Sus scrofa: one gene and its partner. The protein of the gene in region 2 interacts with the protein of the main gene of each other region in a biochemical or structural test. Links are inferred from orthologs where the notes say so. Each region holds a gene or a part of one and is shown on either strand. Other genes may lie near its edges. The genes, in order: ARF5 and ARFIP2.

The links.
Region 1: the proteins of ARFIP2 (region 2) and ARF5 form a complex in vitro, tested with the Homo sapiens proteins (2 studies listed by BioGRID). The link is inferred for Sus scrofa from reciprocal best matches to the Homo sapiens genes ARFIP2 and ARF5.

Annotation. Positions count from the first base shown.
Region 1 is NC_010460.4:20,695,583-20,700,015, forward strand, and holds ARF5 (ADP-ribosylation factor 5), read right to left. Parts: upstream 3,054-4,433; 5' UTR 2,998-3,053; coding exon 2,931-2,997; intron 2,403-2,930; coding exon 2,322-2,402; intron 2,019-2,321; coding exon 1,909-2,018; intron 1,188-1,908; coding exon 1,116-1,187; intron 612-1,115; coding exon 486-611; intron 384-485; coding exon 297-383; 3' UTR 124-296; downstream 1-123.
Region 2 is NC_010451.4:3,248,702-3,253,081, reverse strand, and holds the start of ARFIP2 (arfaptin-2), read right to left. Parts: upstream 3,072-4,380; 5' UTR 2,917-3,071; intron 2,129-2,916; 5' UTR 2,087-2,128; coding exon 1,988-2,086; intron 1,733-1,987; coding exon 1,636-1,732; intron 917-1,635; coding exon 798-916; intron 615-797; coding exon 393-614; intron 1-392. Other genes in the region: TIMM10B (mitochondrial import inner membrane translocase subunit Tim10 B), read left to right, coding at 3,214-3,252, 3,454-3,549, 3,746-3,922. UniProt on the Homo sapiens protein: Plays a role in constitutive metalloproteinase (MMP) secretion from the trans Golgi network. May have important functions during vesicle biogenesis at certain cargo subdomains, which could be predominantly utilized by secreted MMPs, such as MMP7 and MMP2.

The DNA of each region.
Region 1 (4,433 bases), on a different chromosome or scaffold from region 2:
AAAAAACAAAAGTCAACCCAGATCCCTGCTCCTCCTCTGGAAGAAGGGGCCTTGGCCCCCGAAGCCCCTTTCCGTGGGTCCCAGAAGGCAAGAGAGCAGACCCCTCCGTGCCCAGAGAGCGGGGGCTCCAGGCTCCAACAACAGAGAGAACATGCAGGCAGGAGCAGGCGCAGAGGCCTGTGTCTGCGGGGGAGGAGGAGCTGGGAGGGAAGGGCACTGCCTGAGGAGTCCGGGAGTCTGGTCGTCCCGGGGTGCACGCGGGAGCTTCCGGGCAGCAGGGGCTGGCCTGTGGTTGGCTAGCGCTTCGACAGCTCATGGGACAGCCAGTCCAGCCCATCGTACAAGCCTGTGCCTTGTGTGGCACAGGTGGCCTGGACGTACCACTGTGGGGAGAAGGAAAGAAACAGGTCAGAAGCAGGGAAGAAAGGCGATGCCTTTCCTTCCTGCCCAGCCTGGGGCTCCCCCGAGCAGACGCAGGTCCTCACCGTGCGGCTGCGCAAGTGCTGCAGCCCCAGCTTGTCGGTCAGCTCGCTCACGGGCATGGCGTTGGGCATGTCCTGCTTGTTGGCAAACACCAGCAGCACCGCATCGCGCAGCTCGTCTTCCTGCAACTGAGAGAAGGCAGAGGCGATGGCATCTGAGGGGGGTCTCTGGGGGCCCCCAGGCTCCCTTTTCCCAGCTGCATATGGGAATCCTGCTTTCTATCTTCTAGTCTATTTGCAGGGAAAACAGAACATTGTGTCATCTATGGCTGAACACAGGACACAAATTATAAATCAGCTTGGCCTTAGATCCAGAAAAGGCCTTTTTTGAGAGTACCCTTCCAGTTAAAAATGTCAAAGTCATCCACAGGGAAAAAAACAAGAACGTAAGATGATGCTTCTCTCCACCACCTACAATTCCCCTCCCTCTACCGGCTTCTCAGACTCAGAAGGGAAGACATGAGAGAATTCCAGGAAAAAGTCAAGTCTCACACTTTTTACCCGGGCCCAATTCAAAGTGGGGAGGCACTACTTCTTGGGAGTGTGTCCACAAAGCGGAACCCACATTCAAGGCCCGTGAGGCATTTCTATCTGTCACACCGGCACAGAAATGTGGGCGCTCTGAGTGCTCACCATCTTCTGGAGTTCATCGGCAGATTCCTGGACCCGCTCTCGGTCATTACTGTCCACCACGAAGATGAGGCCCTGGGTGGGAAGAAGAAAGGAAAGAGGAGCAATCACTCACGCCTGGGACATCCACACCCTAGTCTGGCTCCTCCTCTCTTCTGCCCTCTGACCCTGCTTTTAACTTTTTAGGGCCGCACCTGTGGCATATGGAGGTTCCCAGCCTAGGGGGCAAATCAGAGCTGCAGTTTCTAGCCTACGCCGCAGCCACAGCAACCTGGGATCTGAGCCGCACCTGCGACCTACACCACAGCTCACAGAAACGCCGGCTCCTTAACCCACAGAGTGAGGCCAGGGATGGAACCCGCAACCTCATGGATGCTAGGTGCAACCTCATGGATGCTAGTCGGGTTCGTTAACCACTGAGCTATGAAGGGAACTCCTCCATGTCCATCTTTAATGGTGTCTAAACCCTTCTCATCTAGTAAACTTACACAGTGGCTCTGGAGACGTCCTAGCACAAACTGGAGACACTCTGCTAGGATACGGCCTCTGCCCTCAGCCAAGGGGACCGGCTGAATGATGTGCACCGGGACAAGGAAAGACATGGGATGGGAGCGGAGTGAGGCAGCCTGGATTCAGAATTCTGCTTCTCAAGAGACTGAGGCCATTTCTGAAGAATAAGGAGAGGCTAGTCTACACAAGGGGGTAGAAGGGGGTAAGAGGTTTTTTTTGGCCTAGGCCAACACCTCCATCTTCCTACCCCTAACACCTCTTCCACTGGGGTTGGGGGAGCCCCAACCTGAGTGTTCTGGAAGTAGTGCCGCCACAGAGGCCGAATCTTGTCCTGGCCTCCCACGTCCCAGACTGTGAAACAGATGTTCTTGTATTCCACTGTTTCCACATTGAAGCCTGCAGATAATTGGAAAAAAATATGAGGAAAAAGTCCTGAAAGGGAGGAACTCACCAAAACGATGTGGTTTCAGCAGGGACCCCAAGCCAGAAGGCACCGAGGGGCGGGGCTCGGTCACATCCATCCCGCCTGGGCACCATCCTGCATGAAAAGATACCGTGACCCACTTCTCAGGTAGCAGCATCTGATGTCACGGTCAGCTCTCTGGGGCCGAGATAAGGGCCTCGGCAGAATGCGGAGCAGATCCTGAGGAGGCCCTCCCGCCGCGCTCCCGCTCCTCCCCACCGCGCCTCCGGACTCACCTATGGTGGGGATGGTGGTGACAATCTCCCCCAACTTCAGTTTGTACAGGATTGTGGTCTTGCCAGCTGCATCCAAGCCAACTGCAAAGGAGAAGGGCACCGGGATGGAGATGGGAGCAAGGGAGCCCCCTAGAGCCCAGGGAAGGGGACGGGCCAGGACAGCTGATGGTGACGGGGGCGGAGAGCCGAGCACCTCCAGGTGCGCGCTGTTCTCTACCTTCGCGGCCTTGAGCGCAGTCTGGGGGGTGGGCGCCAAGTCCAGCCCTCAGAGCGCGCGAGGGGCGGTAGAAGACTGAGGGGTAAGAGGTGCCAGAGGAGGGTCGTGCTCCTTTTAAAAGTCGTCTCCAAGGACGGAATCCTCCCTTCTTACCAGCCGGGCTGGGGCGGAGGAGGGAGCTTCACTCCACCCAGGCCCGCAGCTCCCGGTCCCAGGCCCCAGGAGCGCTGCTGCAGATCCCGACCCACCCGAGAGTAGTGGTCCCGGGGAGTTAGGCCGGGGGTGACTCGGGGTCAGAGACCCGGGTGAGCAGGGCTGGAGGGACGCGGGGGCAGGAGAGCTGCGTGGGGGCCGGCGCTCCCCGTCCAGGCCGAGCGCTTTATCTGCCTCACCCATGAGGATCCGCATCTGCTTCTTCCCGAAGATCCGCGAAAAGAGCGCGGACACCGTGAGGCCCATGGCGGGGCCTGGGGGAGGGGGCGCGGGGACGGACGCGGGGTGCGGGCTGGAACTGGCCGGCCGCTGGGGGATGGGCGCAGCAGCAGGAGGAGGAGGTGCCGCCGCCGCCTCCGCGCGTCCCGGCCCGCCCTACGTCACCTCGGGCCCGCCCCCGCCATGGCCCCGCCCCCAACACAGCCCTCAGCCCCGCCCCCGCCCCGCCTCCAGGCCCTGGCCCTGGGAGACCCTGAAGCTGACCGTCTTGCGAGCCTCTGGTTCGGCGCTGGCTTTAGAGATGGAAAAGGTCTGGGCCTTCCCCCTGTTTCTGGCGTGCCTGTAAGATCTGTGGCTGCTGAATCCGCAACCCGGGCAGGATCAAGGAAAGCCTCCAAAGCTCCATAACGGCCCTCCATCCCCATCCTCACTGGCTGACCGCTGGGCTTTGGTTTGGTCCGTCCAATCCACTCTAGGCTCCGATTTAGCTCTTGGTAATGAGTGCCTCGACTTTGTGCACCCTCCCTCTCCCAACCCCCCCCCCCCCACGCCCCGAAGCGGCAGTTCCGCGCAGGTGTCTTAGTCCTTCCTTTTGTCTTCTCAGTTCCCAGTCAGGGACTTTGAACGTGGCAGGTGCTTCAGTGACCTTAGAATCTCTAGAGGAATGCGCCAGAGGTGAAAGAAGATGCCCTTCATGGTTTCTTAAAACGCCTGCAGCAGAACCAGTGGAGGATCTCCAGTTCTAGGCGGTGGGGTAGTAGATACTACTCCTGCATACTGGAGAATTCTGCCTTGCCTCGATGGCCCTGGAAACAATGCCTTTCAATCGAACCAGGCAACCTTTCTGAAGCTCCTTCCTCAGTTTGAAAAGCGGAACCTGGATTTATTATTTTTTTTGGGGGGGGGTCTTTTTAGGGCCGCACCGGCGGCATGGAAGTCGAATCAAAGCTACAGCTGCAGGCCCATGCCACAGCCACAGCAACGCCAGATGGAGCTCTGTCTTCGACCTGTACCACAGCTCACAGCAACGTCGGATCCCGAGCGAGGCCAGGGATCCAACCTGCGTCCTCATGGATGCTAGTCAGATTCGTTTCTGTTGAGCCACGAAGGGAACTCCAACCTGCACCTTTAATGCATAGCTAGCTAGCATTTTGTAAGGCTGAAGAGCTTCATGAGCTATTTTCCCACTCACCTTAGCATCTGAGGGGAAATAGCAAGATAGGAATTAATTTAAATTTCTTTTATGGTGGAGACTGGGTCACCTAATATATGCTTAACAAATGCTGGCTGGATTGAATGGACTAACTGATTGCTCAGTGGAGCATGGACAGGTGTTTTTGCCTGTTCTGGATTCCCTTTGGGCTTCTAGAATCAATCCCTATGGACTGGACATGGTGAGGTGAGCTGGGAATCAGAGAACGTTCCTTCCTTCCTTCACTCATTAAACAAATATTTATTGAGTG
Region 2 (4,380 bases):
AAGGGTCGTGGGCCCCCCCTGGGGATGCCTAGGGCAGGAACGTGGGAGCGGGGCTCTCGGAGTTCACGGGACTGGAAGAGGGCAAGCCAGTGCAGCAGGCAAGGGAGCGGCTCCGATGAGGCTGGGCACCGAAGGCATTCTCGCCGAGGCCGAGAAGGGCTATTTGCGAGGCACCTAGTGTGCCGCCTCCCCCACCCCCTCCGACTTCTGGACCTCCGTACAAACCCTTAGGCTGCCTCCACTGGTGAGTGCTGCTGGGGGCGGGGCTGGGCCCACCCTGGAGGGGTTCTCCCTCTGGGCTGCAGGAGGGAGGGAGGAGGGAGGCTGAGGGGTGACTGCCTGGGAGGGCCCCGGGCCCAGGCCCCCCTCCCCCTCTGGCCTGCCCAAGGCACCTGAAGCTCTGGGGACTTCTGGCTGAGGTCAGCAAAGGCATCCCCCAGTGCATGCTGGGTCTGCAGCAGGCTGTAGAGGTGGGCTGTCAGGGCCCGGCCCAGCTGCAGGACACTCTCATACTTGCGCTTCGTCTCACGCAGCAGCTCAATTTGCAGCTCTAGCTCCAGGTCCACAGTCCGGGAGCCTCGGCCAAACCGCTCTGATAACAGCTGCTTTGTGCACTGAGTGGGAAGTGGGGGAACAGGTCAGAGACCCTGGCGCCCGGCCCTGCCCCGCAGCAAGTGTCTACCCCGGCGTCCCCAGACTCCAAGTCTCAGCCCGAGATGATGGGACAGGAGGATCCGCAAGATGGGGAAGAGGTACCCGGGGGAGCTCAGGGGGCGGAGGAGGTGCGTGAATCCCACCTTATACGTGTTGATGCCCCATTTCTTGACGATGTCGAACTTCTCTCCAGCGATGCCCCGGGCCACCTCATCCCCGGGGCCAGCAGGAGGGGCGCTGTGAGATGGATGGCGGCCAGACCCTAAAGGACCAAGTTCTCTGACACCAGCCTCTCTCAGACACAATCCGACGCCTCTGTGGTTCCACCCACACTTCCCTCCCAGCACATGAAAATGACGCCCCGGAAGGAGCAGGGCTGGAGACTCACTAGGAGGAATTCATGCCTTGGACCCTGAGACCCAATCCCAACATACACCTGGCCTCCTTTTGACGTGGAGGTGAGGACTGGAAAGGGAGGTGGGAGGGGTTGCTCGTGTGCAGGGGCAGAGGAAACAGCGGAGACTAGGCTGAGAATGGGGTCGCTGACCATGGCTGGGCGCCCCTCGAACCGAACACCTGGCTGACATTCCCATGTGGATCCCAGTCACTGCGAGATTCAGGGCTGCTTGTTCCTCTAAATAGCAGAGTCTAACGTAAGACTCTGATAAGCCTCTCAAAGCTCCAAATCAGATTCAAGCTCCAGAGCAGGGGAGGCCTGGTGAACAGAGTTCTCTGCCTGACTCAGGTAGTGACGGCAGAGAAGGGACAAGTGGGCATATCTGAGGGACAAAGTGGCAAGTGGAGGCAGATGGACACCCCTGGGAACGGGCCTTGGGCTGAGATGCCCGCGGGTTCATCCTGGCAGAGGTTCCCACGAGCTCCAGACATGATTCACGCCTTCTTAGACGTATCCTATGCCCCCTGGAGCCAGTCCTCTTCCCCTCTCCACTCAATGCCCTATCCTGCTCTGATCATTCATACCTGTGGGGATGAGTCCATCACCAGAGCCCCCATAGCCACCAGACACAATGCTGGTTTCATTGAGGTTGGGTCCTGACACCATCACCTGCTGGAGGTCCTATAGGCCAGAGAAGAGGGGGGCTTCAGGAACATATGGGCAGCTGAAGCATTTTGGGGGTGAAAACAAGCTTGGATTGAAGCATCATAGAGAGAGCACACAAGGGAAGTCTGCACAGAATCAGAACAAAGATTGGTAAAAAGACTGAAGGAAATCAGGTGAGTTGGGGGAAGGCTACTGGAAGAAGGAGAGAGCTCAGGGTTTAAGAGTTGGGATTCCTCAACTGAAACAATGTGAAGAATCAAACAGAAGCACCTGCTCCAGCCCATCATCCTCAGGAAGCTGCCCCGCGTCACCATTCCCGTGGATGGGGATCTCCATTGTGGCTGCCTTCCCTAGGATCCCGTCCGTCATGGCGAGCGAAGGGACTGGAGTCAAAGTCTCCACCCCAGCGCCCTGCAAAGCCCAACACAGACAGTTCTGGAAACGGGCCAGTTCTCCGAAGAGGAAGGTCTCCCCTGCCCTTGCAGAGGCCGTCCCGGGGCTTCAGTGTGGTGGGGTCTGCCCACCACTCTTCCCTCGGGGCTTTGTCTTTCTCCCTTCCAAGGTGCAAAGTTTTACACACAGGCACCCAGGCCTCAGGTGTGCCTGACCAGAGGTCATGTTCTCATGACCCCCCCACCCCCACCCCCCCAGCAGTCCAGGGATCATTCATGCATTCAGTCCTTCCACAGACATTTAATGAGTGCCTACTACATGCCACGCACTATTTGAGGCAATGGAGAGAAAGCCTGTGCTCTCAAGCAGCTTATCCCCACGCAGGTATTCCTCCTCATCAGGAGACAATCCCTTTCCCAGCGCTCAGGTGCCTATCCCCGTTCAGGTATGTTCGCCATTGTTTGGCCTTTCACACTCCTCTAATGTCTCCTCCTCTTTCCTGCAGGTGGTCTCCCCCTCCTCCATCCCATGCACCCCCTCTTCCTGCCCCCACCCCCGCCCCAGGCCTTAGTTGAATCAGTTGGTGTAAGTTCCCGACCCCGGGGAAAAGTCCCTTTGCCCCAGGACATAGGGAGGTGATCCCTTCCAAAGTCAGTTAGGTCTCCCCAGGTGTGTGAGTCTCCGCCCTCCCCCCATACACCTGGGCGTCAGGTGTGTCCTCATCCTTTCCCAGGGCTCAGAAGCATCTTGCCCTCAGGTCAGGTTCGTGCGTTCACCTTGCCCTCGCCCATGCACGTCCCTCTCACCTCGGGCCGGGCCGCTCTTCCCCTCAGGGCGCCAGGCCCGGGCCGCGCGGGGATCTCGGGATCCAGTTCCCGTCGCGATCCTAGCAGCAGGTCAGGGACTCGGCGGAAGTGACGTCCTCTCCCGGGCAGAAGAAGCCGGCCACGTAGCCGATTATGAGGGCGGAAGTGACGTCGCGGGGAGGTGGGCGGGCGCTCCTTGAGCCAACCCCTCTGCCCCTGGGGAGCCATTGAGGTCACTTCCGGGGCGTTCCCTAGAAGCTGTAACGGAAGTGACGTAGGTTGTGCGCCGGCGGCGTGATGGAACAGCAACAGCAGCAGCAGCAGCAGCTGAGAAACGTGAGTGGGAGCTAAGTCGCTTAAGGGCCCTGCATCCAGCTAGCATCCCTGTTCGCATGGCGGAAACCCCAGAGAGCCAGGCATCCAAGGGCTGGGAACCACGGGCCGTGGTACACGGTCCTGGGAAAGCGCCGGCAGCGCGGCCTTGAGTTGAGACGTGGCCCCCTCTTCGCTGAGTTCCTTGTCCCCCTTCCTCCCCAGTTGCGGGACTTCCTGTTGGTCTACAATCGGATGACGGAACTCTGCTTCCAGCGCTGCGTGCCCAGCCTGCATCACCGAGCTCTGGATGCCGAGGAGGTTAGGTGGGGGAACTGAGTAGGGAAGTGCTCCTCGAGCCTCAGAGCTAACCGTGCACTGCTTCCCTCTCCCGTCAATTCCCCTACGTCCGGCCCTGGCTTCCCACGACCTCCGCCCTGAGGCTGGGGATGGGAAGGAGGGAAACGGACCTGACTGGACACCTTTGGCTTCTACTTCCACCCTGTCTTCCTTCCAGGAGGCCTGTCTGCACAGCTGTGCCGGGAAGCTGATCCATTCCAACCACCGCCTCATGGCCGCTTACGTGCAGCTCATGCCTGCCCTGGTACAGCGCCGCATCGCTGACTACGAGGCTGCCTCAGCTGTGCCAGGTGTTGCTGCTGAACAGCCAGAAGCCTCGCCATCTGGCAGCTAGCTGTCCTCAACGCTGAGAAGGGAGGCACTGGATGGACCCTCACGTTGAAGGAGCAGTGGACCTTGGGCAAGATGGAGCCTGTATGTAGAGAATGAGGAGTTGCCTGAGAGCTAGGTACTGTTGCTCCTTTTCCTGGAGCTAATAAACCTGCTGTAATCTGTGCGGTTGATATTCTGGGCAGGGAGAAGTTGCCTTCTGTGTGTGGAAGGAAAACCTCAGCATTCCCAGGCACCTGGTTAAAGGAAGGTCTGTGGGTACAGCTTTAAAATTGGCAACAAGACGCTGGTTCGTGCCCAGACGGCAGAGAAAATGGGAACTCTGTCCTTAAATCTGTCTGACTTAAATGGTTCGCTTAGAGATATTAAGGACCATGGATTAAGAAACCACAGGGCTTTTAGGCACTACCTCTTCGAAAGTCAGTAGCCCCAGACAGATGAAACCTATAGGACTTCTGGGTG